Diceros bicornis minor: one gene and its partners. Each later gene encodes a partner of the first gene's protein in a complex. Links are inferred from orthologs where the notes say so. Each region holds a gene or a part of one and is shown in the gene's direction. Other genes may lie near its edges.

What was found.
Region 2: ANP32A (region 1) and TREX1 share a complex: the UniProt entries of both Homo sapiens proteins name them as parts of the SET complex. The link is inferred for Diceros bicornis minor from reciprocal best matches to the Homo sapiens genes ANP32A and TREX1.
Region 3: ANP32A (region 1) and nucleoside diphosphate kinase A 1 share a complex: the UniProt entries of both Homo sapiens proteins name them as parts of the SET complex. The link is inferred for Diceros bicornis minor from reciprocal best matches to the Homo sapiens genes ANP32A and NME1.

Annotation. Positions count from the first base shown.
Region 1 is NC_080744.1:62,645,511-62,649,253, reverse strand, and holds the start of ANP32A (acidic leucine-rich nuclear phosphoprotein 32 family member A), read left to right. Parts: upstream 1-1,119; 5' UTR 1,120-1,258; coding exon 1,259-1,417; intron 1,418-1,432; exon of another isoform or gene 1,433-1,564; coding exon of another isoform or gene 1,565-1,618; intron 1,619-2,510; exon of another isoform or gene 2,511-2,597; coding exon of another isoform or gene 2,598-2,750; intron 2,751-3,743. UniProt on the Homo sapiens protein: Multifunctional protein that is involved in the regulation of many processes including tumor suppression, apoptosis, cell cycle progression or transcription. Promotes apoptosis by favouring the activation of caspase-9/CASP9 and allowing apoptosome formation.
Region 2 is NC_080741.1:49,818,286-49,822,028, forward strand, and holds the start of TREX1 (three-prime repair exonuclease 1), read left to right. Parts: upstream 1-1,129; 5' UTR 1,130-1,744; intron 1,745-2,034; 5' UTR 2,035-2,055; coding exon 2,056-3,000; 3' UTR 3,001-3,743. Other genes in the region: ATRIP (ATR-interacting protein), read left to right, coding at 1-24, 241-493, 900-967. UniProt on the Homo sapiens protein: Major cellular 3'-to-5' DNA exonuclease which digests single-stranded DNA (ssDNA) and double-stranded DNA (dsDNA) with mismatched 3' termini. Prevents cell-intrinsic initiation of autoimmunity.
Region 3 is NC_080757.1:35,294,313-35,298,055, reverse strand, and holds the start of nucleoside diphosphate kinase A 1, read left to right. Parts: upstream 1-1,259; 5' UTR 1,260-1,356; intron 1,357-1,562; exon of another isoform or gene 1,563-1,633; intron 1,634-3,743. UniProt on the Homo sapiens protein: Major role in the synthesis of nucleoside triphosphates other than ATP. The ATP gamma phosphate is transferred to the NDP beta phosphate via a ping-pong mechanism, using a phosphorylated active-site intermediate.

The DNA of each region.
Region 1 (3,743 bases):
TTGGTTTCTTTCTCCCTTGAACCCACGTCCCTGAAAAATAAACACAATGTATTCAAAAAATAAAAAACCACCGTAAAGTGTATGGGAAAGAGTGTAGACACGTAGAAATAAAAGGGCTAAAAAACAGTTGTGGAAGGGTAAAAATGTATTTGTCCTTGTTGACGACAATCCTCATGATTTATTAACAGCAATAGGCAGCTAACTTAGTACACAAGGTCCTAGGCCTGGCCATAAGAAGTTGGTAACCAGCGGGAATTAAGGCTTTAAGGTCTCTCACAACTAATGTGATTCAAACAAACCCAAAGCAAGCAAACCGTAAAACCTGGAGAAAGTGCTCCAAATAGAGCCTCTCTGGCAACCCAAATTGAACCAAATGACTCAGGTGGACGATGAGCGTCAACTGTGCGCCGTTTTCTTTCACTAGGTCTATAAAGCCCATAAATTACGTTTGGTCCAGAAAACCAGGAGTTATTAGCACCTTCCTTTTCCACTTTTTAATATTCAATATATTCAGCAACAATTCTTAATGCATGGTCTCCATTCATTTGTTGACTAAACGAGATCCTGGGTGCCTCTTGGTGATCACTCCTTCCAAGCTGACCTTATATCACAGCAAATTGAAATGCCCCTCCGTGGAGACAGTCGAGACCGCGAGGTAAGTCATCCAAAGGTGGACGCATCTCGCTTTTATTTACTTATTTATTCGAGGGGCGGCGACGGCTGCGGCTGGACTAAGACGAGGCGGCAGGCGAAGGGGCGCGCGGGCTGGGAACCGCAGCCCAGGGGTGGGAGCCCGCGGAGGAAGTGGGGGGCAGCAGCCACGCTCCACCAGCTCAGCCCGCCGGACCCAGAAAATGACCAGCCCCTCCCCCAATGCACCCTTGACCCCTCCCCCTCCTTCCAGACCTTTCATCCGCCCGCCCGCCGAGCAACGCTCGGCCCCCAGACCTCACGCCGCCCGCCTCTCTCCGCAACCCCGTGGTGCGGCGCGGGCAGGCCCGGGGCGGCCCAGCGGAGACCCCGACCCGACCCCTCCGGCCGCGCCCCTCCCCCTCGTATAACGCACCTGCGGCCCCGCCCCCGGCCAAACGCTGAGGCGGTGGCGGGCTGGTGAGGCCAGGCGGCTCGGCCGTCGAGGCACAGTCACCGTCCCTTCCCCCGCCATTCCGCCCACCCCCCTCGCTCAGCCACCGAGCAGCCGCCGCGCTCCTCAGCTGCCCCGAAATCTAAAGGGGTCCGTCCCCGGCAGCACAACCAAATGGCTGAGCCTCCCTGGCCGGCTGCGCAGTCCGCCCATTGGTCCCTTCCCCCCCGCCGCCGCCACCATTGGCTGTTGCCCGGAGACCCTCGGCGGCGATTGGCTCAGGCTGCTGCCGCTCATCTGCGGGGCCGCAGATCCCGCCTCCACGGTGATCAGGTTAGTGTGCGCCGCGGGTGCTGGGGGCTCGAGAACCGAGCGGATCTGGTTGAGCCTTCAAAGTCCTAAAACGCGCGGCCGTGGGTTCGGGGTTTATTGATTGAATTCCGCCGGCGCGGGAGCCTCTGCAGAGAGAGAGCGCGAGAGATGGACATGGACAAACGGATTCATTTAGAGCTGCGGAACAGGACGCCCTCTGATGTGAGCATTTGCCAAAAATATCTCTGTCGGTCCATTCTCCTACTTTGTGTGTGTGTGCGCGCGTTGGGGGGAGGCACTTTTTTTTGAGGGGGGGCGCCCGGGAGGTGTGGGTTTGGGGGTCGGACTGCAAATGAATTGCAAGGTTGGGGGGTTGCAATGCCATCCGAGCATGTTCCGGCTGCCGCCGCCGCTGCCCTTGGTGTGTGACTACCTGTGCGTGTGCTCCCGCGTGTGTGAATGTGGGTGCGAGAGTGTGCGTGCGAGTGTGCACCCATCGGGGGCCAGCGGGCGCACGCGTTTGGGTCGGAGAGAAGGAGGCAAAATAACCCTCTGAGCTCGCTGCTCCCGTGACTCCGTCTGGGGGAAAGATTAACGAGGGGAGGAGGAGGAGAGGGGCTGCCTCCTGGATTTAACAACAAAAAAAAGGGGGTTTATATTTTATAAATGAATCCCCCCTTCCGCCCCCTCCCGCTCCTTCCCCCTCCCTTTCTCTCTCTCTCCGCTCGCACACACACAATAAGTTTTGGGCTTCGCGAGTCCGGTTTAGTTTCTGATAAATGTGGGCCGAGGCCCCGGGGGAGAGCGCGTGGGGAGGGGGCTGCAGTGGAGTTGGGAATGGCTCGAGTTTAAAGTGCGTCTTCATTTCTTTGCAGTGATGAGGCGAGAGACGGGGGAGCCATATTTGTAACTTTGTAGTGTTCGTGAACGCGCCCTTTCTCTCCCTCCCTCCCTTTCTCTGCCTCCCTTCCTCTCCTCCTCTTTCTCCCTCACTCTTTCCACCCCACCTTCGGGCCAGATGCTGATGTTTCTTCCTTTTCTTCAGAAGGGAGGATAAATTGGAAGAAGGGGGGAGGGATTTTCGAACGTTCGAAGCCACAGATAATCCCCGCGCCTCCGCACCTCGGGCGATCGCTACTGCAAGTTACCCAAAGGCGACGTCCCGGTCCCCCTCGCCCCTGCTCCTTCCGGGCTCCCTCAGATGCCAGCCTTGAGCCCTGGCTCAAGCCCCCCGCCGGGAACCCCGGCCCGTCTTTCTCTAGGGTGGGCTCCTCGGCAGCCATTCGGCGCCTGGTTAATAAATGGGCACGGGAAACTTTGTCAGGACGCGAGCTGCCCAGAGCTGGTGCCCGTGGTGGGTATTGGCTGGGTCCAGATTTATGCGGGCACAGCAAACACGCAGCTCCGGGATGGGAGTTTGCCTTCTGGTCGCCGTTATTGATTGGGCAGCGGCGGGAGTACGGCCAGAGGAAACTTGCGCGGATGGGAACTGGGAGGCTCGGGCGAAAGCCCACCCCCAAGGAGGGGAAGGTGAAGGTGGGTTACTCAACGCTCCTTTTTCTGTCTCCCTCTCGCTTTCAGACAGTGTTTTATGTGAGTTGGCGGCTCAGCGTCGGGGACCCCGGGTCTGGGGCGGAGACGCTGGCCGACTCCCCTCGTGGCCCCTCGGGGGACCAGGGGAGCGCAGGCCGGAGGACCCCCCCGCGCCTCGGTGGCCAGGGTTCCACAGAGTTGGGAGTTTGGGTAGCACTGTGCGCTGACCTATCGCCCCTCCAGCCCGTTAAAACCCGAACCCCTGGCGAAGGCAGGCCTTGCTTCCTCTTTTCTCTAGTTCCTCCCCCAAACCTGAGTGAGACTTTTGAAAACAAGATCGTTTTTGTGCCCCCCCCCATCATAACGCAGCTGTGGACTGTAGACGTGCCGTGCCTTATGGCGCGCAGGGCGGGGAGGGGGGTGGCGGAGGGAGGGGAGGGGGTGCCCGTCGGAGGAGGCAGGAGTTTCCGCGAACAGTTTGCCGGTGGTTTGCCTTTCTCTGGCCGGTTTCATCCCAGCTTGGACCGCGAGCCGGCGGATTTGGGGGCTGGGTGTGGTGATGGGGGAAGGGGCCGGAGCCGTGGTCTTCCCGCGTACTTTCCGGAAGCCCCCTGTTCGGAGGGGGAAGGGCGCCAAGTTGGGGGCCCGGGTCGCGGCGGGTGGGTGTGGAGGCGCGGTTCGCCCGGCCAACCCTATCCACACTGCTGGCCAACTGGGAGTGAGATCGAAAGCGGGTCGAACCGGCTCTTTAAACTTCCCCGAGTGTGTGCTGGGGGAGGGGAGCGCGCCGCGCCGAACTGGGAGCGATTCTCAC
Region 2 (3,743 bases), on another chromosome or scaffold:
TCCAACTGCCAGTGCAACGTGGAGGTAAGTGCCCAGGGGCAGGCAGGGCCGAGAGCGTGGCAGCTCTCTTGGTGGGTAAGGTGCAAGGACCTGTGCAAGGACCCCATGCTCCTTCTAACCCTGGTGCCACCACTCAGAACCCTCCTCACCTGGGGTGGCTAGGAAAGATGCTGCCCAGCTGAGCAAGGTGTTAGGGTGCAGGAACTGTGAGACCTGACCTCAGTCTGTGCCCTCCCCCAGGTGGTGAGAGCGCTCACGGTGATGCTGCACAGACAGTGGCTGACAGTGCGGAGGGCAGGGGGGCCCCCAAGGACTGACCAGCAGAAGCGGACAGTGCGGTGTCTGCGGGACACGGTGCTGCTGCTGCACAGCCTGTCCCAGAAGGACAAGCTCTTTAGTGTGCACTGTGTGGAGGTCCTGCATCAGTATGACCAGGTGATGCCAGGGGTCAGCACGCTGATTCGAGGGCTTCCTGACGTGACAGACTGTGAAGGTGAGCCGGCAGGAGGACCCCTCCCTACCTCAGCCCCAGGTGGGGTTTTCCCTCAAGTTCGTGGCCAAGTCAGACTTCCCGGCCTACGTCACAGTCCTCCATCCACCACAGCCTTGGCCAGCACTGGGGTCATTCTTATCTTCCTGCTCTGGTTCTTCTCTGTGCATATTAGGCTGCCTTTTGCTCACATCTGTTGAGCTGGCCTGGCAGAGCCAGGGTTTTTCCAGAAACATCCCTGTCTGAATTGCCTTTGTATCATTTTGCTTGCAGTAGCTGAGGGAGCAAGGCCTGGGCGTGGAAGGGACTGGTTAGTTCCTCTGGGCGTGGGGGGAGGAAAGGTGGGACCTCCCCCAGTCCCCAGCACCTTCAGGCCTTCACCAGAGGACGCTCTTCTTTTTTGGCTCAGAGGCCGCCCTGGATGACCTCTGTGCCGCTGAGCCCGATGTGGATGATCCCGAGATGGACTGTGGTTGAGGCCTGTGAGCATCGAGCCACATGGTGGCACCAGCACCACTACTCTCCTCACCTTGTCAACTGATTAAAAGCAGTGACCGGCTGTTTGAGAACAGGCCAGCCTTGTTTCCTGAGTCTGATCTGTGTTGACTGAGTGGGAGGGATGAAGCAGGAGCGGGACCCAGGGAAGGCTGGGATCTTTCTTCCTGTCCCTGGCTGGAGCTGAGATTCGGTCCCCATGGTAACAAATCTGCTTTGAGGAAGAAGCCCTGCCCTCCCTGTGGAATTGCCCTGAGTCATCGCTTTGGGCTGAGGCCATGGGAAGAAACCATTGTGTGACAAGGAAGGAGGCAGCCCTCAGCCCAGGCCTAAACCAGGGAGGCCTGGGAAAGTGGGGCCAAGGGGTGGGCGCAAAATGGCCACGGCAGGGGCTCCTGGCAGCCTTGAATCCTGGAGCTAGCCTTCCCTAATAGCCTAGGCACCACTGCCCTTGTCCTCCCAGCTGGCTCACTCACTGGTGTGAGGGCGTGAGGGCTCTGGTGCGTTGTGCCTGCCAGCAGGCACACAGCTATAGATCTGAGAAGGCCTTTGAGGAGTCACTGTGAGCAGAGGGGTGCTGGGGAAGGAGGGGTGTTGGCAAGAGAGGGGCAGACCAGGCAGACTGACAGCAGGGCGGGCTTTGCTCACGCCAGGCCGTGGGCGGGCTCAGGCTGAGTTTCACTTCCCGCCACTGCTGCCAGCAGCAAGAATCAGCCAGAAAGTGTGCGCCCCGAGTCATTGCTGCCTGCCTGCTACTCGGTAAGTGAGGACCCCCAAGGGGATAGGGTAGGTTCCCTTATCCCCACCCTGAACCCCGCCAGACTAAGTGGGCATTAGGGGAGGAGCCAAACCTTCCCAGACAGACAGCTGAGTGTGCTGATGCCACTAAGGAAGCCACCACCCTCTCTGGCTTCCTGTCCTGAAAATGGGTCCTGGAGTTCACCAACAGTGCCTGCCTGTGCAGGGGAGGCCCACGCCACCCCCACCTGCCTTGGATTTTATCACTGGGGCACTCACATGCCCACTCCCCACCCCATGCTCTTTCCCAGGCTCAGCGGCAGGTACCCACCATGGGCTCGCAGGCCCTGCTCCCGGGTCCTGTGCAGACCCTCATCTTCTTGGACCTGGAAGCCACTGGCCTGCCATTCTCCCAGCCCAAGGTCACGGAGCTGTGCCTGCTGGCCATCCACAGATGTGCCCTGGAGAGCCCTCCCACCCCTCAGGGGCCTCCTTCCACAGTTCCCCCACCACCCCGAGTGGTGGACAAGCTCTCCCTGTGCGTGGCTCCAGGGAAGGCCTGTAGCCCCGCAGCCAGCGAGATCACAGGCCTGAGCACAGCTATGCTGGCAGCGCATGGGCGTCAACGCTTCGATGCCAACCTGGGCAACCTGCTCCGAGCCTTCCTGCAGCGCCAGCCACAGCCCTGGTGCCTCGTGGCACACAACGGTGACCGCTACGACTTCCCCCTGCTCCAGGCAGAGTTCGCTGTGCTGGGCCTTGCCAGTGCTCTGGACGGCGCCTTCTGTGTGGATAGCATTGCTGCCCTGAAGGCCCTGGAGCGAGCTGGCAGCCCCTCGGAGCATGGCCCAAGGAAAAGCTACAGCCTGGGCAGCATCTACACACGCCTGTATGGGCAGGCCCCCCCAGACTCGCACACGGCCGAGGGTGACGTCCTAGCTCTGCTCAGCATCTGTCAGTGGAGGCCGCGGGCCCTTCTGCAGTGGGTGGATGCTCACGCCAGGCCCTTCAGCACCGTCAAGCCAATGTACGGGGTCACAGCCTCTACTGGAGCCAACCCAAGGCCATCTGCTGCCATAGCCACTGTACCCCTGGCCAGAGCCAAGGACACCAGTCCCAACCTTGAGGTGGGCAGGAGGCCCAAGGCCCTTCCTCCAATGCAGAGCCCTGGAGCCCCACCCAGGGAGGGACTGCTGGCCCCACTGGGCCTGCTGGCCTTCCTGACCTTGGCAGTAGCCACACTGTATGGGCTGTCTCTGGCCACACCTGGGCAGTAGGCCAAGAAGGAGAGTCTGACTAATAAAGCCCCCACAGCACTGAGTGGTCACTCGCCTCTAACCCTCCTTGGCAGCCTGAGAGCCTCCTGCACCTCTGCCCACATTCAGGGACCTAGGGAGGGGGCCTAGAGAGTGGCACAGTCTTTGTCCCTCACCCACCCTAGCAGGATGGTCAGATGTCTGAGCCCAATAAAAGTAGGGAAAACATGGAAATCCAAGCGTTGGTACCTAGCCTAATGCCGAATCCCAGCAGCCAAGGCTCTGAAGAAAGGGGGCAGCAGCTCCAAATGTTTGCATTTATTATAAACAAGGGTGCAGACCCTAGACTCTCAAAAATACGTGAACAAGTACAAGGCTAAGACAGATCTGGTGAGACATTAACAGAGGAACAGGGAACACCGAGGTATTCATGTCTGGGCCAGAGCAGCCACCCAGGGCCCCCCTCCACCTTTGGTCCAGACGGCCTGTTGGCCCAGGTGTCCCCGCTGCCAGGACAAAGTGTCGACTAGTGTACAGGAGCTGGATATTCTGTGAGGCTGGTGTCAGGGGAAGCAGGAACTATCAGAGGTCAGATGGTGCCTCTCCTCTGTGGCCCAGTTTCCCTCCAGGACCCAGGGGTGTCAGCCTCACGGCAACTATCACACACATTTTGAAACAGAAAACAGGCAAAATATTTGGCTAAAAGTAAACAAAAACACTGCAGGGAGGACACCTGAGTGTGTAGGTAGACAGAGACCACCCTG
Region 3 (3,743 bases), on another chromosome or scaffold:
CCTACAAATTGTTTTTTGTGATGAGAGTGTTTAAGATCTACTCTCTTAGCAACTTTCAAATATACAATACAGTACTGAAGTTTTTTTCCTAAACATTTTATACTTTTATATTTTACATTTAAGTTTATGATCCATTTTGAGTGAATTTTTGTTTAAGGTAGGAGGTTTAGGAGGAGGTTCTCTTTTTTTGGCCTATAGATGTCCAACTGCTCCAGCACCATTTGTTGAAAAGACTTCTGATTCCACTTTTGTACCTTATTCCATCCATTCCTCATACAGCAGTCAGAATGACTTTTTTTTTTTTTTTTTTGTGAGGAGATCAGCCCTGTGCTAACATCCGCCAATCCTCCTCTTTTTTTGCTGAGGAAGACGGCCCTGGGCTAACATCTGTGCCCATCTTCCTCCACTTTATATGGGACGCCGCCACAGCATGGCTTGCCAAGCAGTGCGTTGGTGCGCGCCCGGGATCCGAACCAGCGAACCCCGGGCCGCCGCAGCGGAGCGCGCGCACTTAACCGCTTGCGCCACCGGGCCGGCCCCCAGAATGACTTTTTTAAATGTGTATCAGAGGATGTCATGCCCTGTTCAAAACCCTCCAGTGGCTTCCCACCCCAACATAATCCGGCCCCTCTGCAACCGCATTTTCTGCCACCCCTTGCCCCTGTAATTCTCGGCCTCAGACAACCAGCGGACTTGCTCCCTCACTTCATGCTGGTCTGTTCTATTGTCACTTCGTCAGAGATTTCCCAGCCAATCTTGCAAAGTAGTTTACTCCTTCAATCTTTCCCCCTTGCCTTGCTTTTTTTTAGCAGCATCTACATAATGCACTACATTACGTATTGATTTGCTCGTTTGTTTATTGTTTGCCCCCATTCCCAACCCCACCAGATGCCACAGAAGAGTTTACTGCTATAGCCCCAGACCCTGGACTACGGCCTGGCACCGAGTAAGTACTCAATTAAGAACTCATTGCTTGACAGGCTGGAAAGAATGAGGACACGTCAAGCGAGAGCGACTTGTCTCCTTTCAGGTCAGGCGCTCGCGAGCGCCACCTCTCGGGAAGCCAATTTGCTGGAGAACGAAGGAAGTGAGTCACAGAATCTTAAAAAACAGGGAGCTTGCCGGAAGAGCATGCAAGACCAGGGCCGGAAGTTAAACATGGGGCAGTTGCTCCCTAGAATGACAGCCGGCTCACAGGAGGAAGCGCGGGCGAGTGGTGTTTTGCAAAAGGCGCTCTCCGGCAGCCGATCTGGGCAGAGGCGTTCCGCGCGTCCGGCTGCCGGCAACCACGTGGGGCCGGGCAGGTTTCCGGTGCCGGGGGCAGCAGGCGGAGGTGAATCCCGAGCAGCTGGAGGGGTGAGAGGGGATCGGGTTCTGAGAGGAGAGGGAGAGGAGTGGGGTCGGGGGAGGGGGAAGTGGAGAGGTCGGGTGAGTTCTGCTCCGAGAGGTGGGAGGGGATCGGATGGGAGGGCAGGGCGGGAGCGCCTGCGGCAGGTGCCAGCCTGTCAGCGCACGTCCCGCGCCACGTGGACTCGCCTTTGTCCTGGCTGCCTTTCCCATCAGGCCGCAAGGACAGGAGTGGTGCCTTATTTGTCTCTGTCCTCTGCAGTGCTGGGCACGGAGGTGGTGCTCAGTAAGTGCTTGCAGAATGAATGACAGATGTGTGTGCCGGCGTGGGTGTGGAGGGACGTTGATAGGGACAATTTCTGGCTCCTAGCCCCGTTTCCTCCTGGGGAATCCATGCTGTTTCCAGCTTCCATCGGGAGTTCTCCGCCACTCCTGGGGCTTTGCCTCTTTTTCTTCGAGGGGCAGGGTCAAGATCATTGAAGACTTTTTTTTTGCTCTTATTGAGTGCTAGGCCCTGTGGCTTGGTACCAGGGACAGAGAGAGGAGTAAACCATCCCTGTTCAGTAGTCTCCCCTTAACCACGGATTCGCTTTCCGAGGTTTCAGTGACCCGCGGTCAACCTCCGTCTGAAAATATTACATGGAAAATTCCAGAAATAGACAATTCATAAGATTTAAATTGCCCGCCCTTCTAAGTAGCGTGGTGAAATCTCGCGCTGTCCTGCCGCGATGTGAATCCTCCTTTTGTCCAGCGGACCCACGCTGTAATATGCTACCCGCATTAGTCACTTAGTGGCCCTCTCGGTTATCAGATCGACTGAGGCGGCATCGGGTGCTTGAGTTCAAGTAACACTTATTTTACTTAATGATGGCCCCAAAGCGCAAGAATAGCGGCGTTGGCAATTCGAATGCGCCAAAGAGAAGCCGAAAAGTGCTTCCTTTAAGTGAAAAGGTGAAAGTTCTGGACTTAATAAGGAAAGAAAAAAAATCGTATGCCGAGGTTGCTAAGATCTACGGTAAGAACGAATCTTCCATCCGTGAAATCGTGAAGAAGGAAAAAGAAATTCGGGCTAGTTTTGCTGTCGCACCTCAAACTGCAAAAGTGACGGCCACAGTGCGTGGGAAATGCTTAGTTAAGATGGAAAAGGCTTTAAGTTTGTGGGTGGAAGACATGAACAGGAAATGTGTTCCGCTGGATGGCAACATGTTGCGCCAGAAAGCGTTGAGCCTGTACGAAGACTTCAGCAAGGGATCCCCTGAAACAAGTGAGAACAAGACATTTACTGCGAGTAAGGGATGGTTACACAGATTCAGGACTAGGTTTGGACTGAGAAATATAAAAATTACTGGAGAGGCTGCGCCTGCTGATGAAGAAGCCGCTGCCACGCTTCCGGCAGAGTTGAAGAAGCTGATTAAGCAGCAAGGATACCAGCCCAAGCAAGTCTTCAATTGCGATGAAACCCGGCTCTTCTGTGCAGTACAGTACGATAAGATATTTAGAGCGACAGACCACGTTCACATAACTTTTACTGCAGTATATTGTTATAATTGTTCTATTTTCTTATTAGTTATGGTTGTTAATCTCTTAGTGTGCCTAACTTATCAAACTTTAGCGTAAGTATGTATACATAGGACAAAGCATAGTATACATAGGCATACCTCGTTTTATTGCACTTTGTTTTATTTATGTGTTTTTTACAAGACCCTCCACCAGCAAAAAGATTACGACTCACCGGAGGCTCAGATGATGGTTAGCATCTTTTGGCCATAAAGTATTTTTTTGATTGAGGTGTATACATTGCTTTTTTAGACATAATGCTATTGCACACTTAATAGACTACAGTATAGTGTAAACATAACTTTTATATGCGTTAGGAAACCAAAAAATTCCCGTGGCTCGCTTTATTGCAATTTTTGCTTTGTTGCCGTGGTCTGGGACTGAAGCTGCAGTATCTTGGAGGTATGCCTGTATATTGTTTGGTACTATCCTCGGTTTCAGGCATCCATTGGGGGTCTCGGAACATATCTCCCGCAGATAAGGGGAGGCTACCTGCATACAGGCTGTAGACCAGTGGGGAGACAGACACACAAACACAACATTCAAATATATTAAGGTGCTATAATAAGAGGTTAACAACTGAAGTCCAGGATGGTGGAGCCAGGAGGTGGTGCTGCTCTCCACATTAGGGACTGTCTTTCAAGGTGAGGGCCTCCTTTCTCATCTGGTGGAGACAGAGCAGGTCGTGAACCCAGTCTTCTTTGTAAAAGGAAAGGTCTGGAATAGACGGTCTCTAGATTTCCTTCCACCATGATGTTCTAGATCAGATATTATTGACGGCTCTAGTTCACAATCCTCCATTTATTAGTCAGATTATTCATTACATCTTATGATGTGGC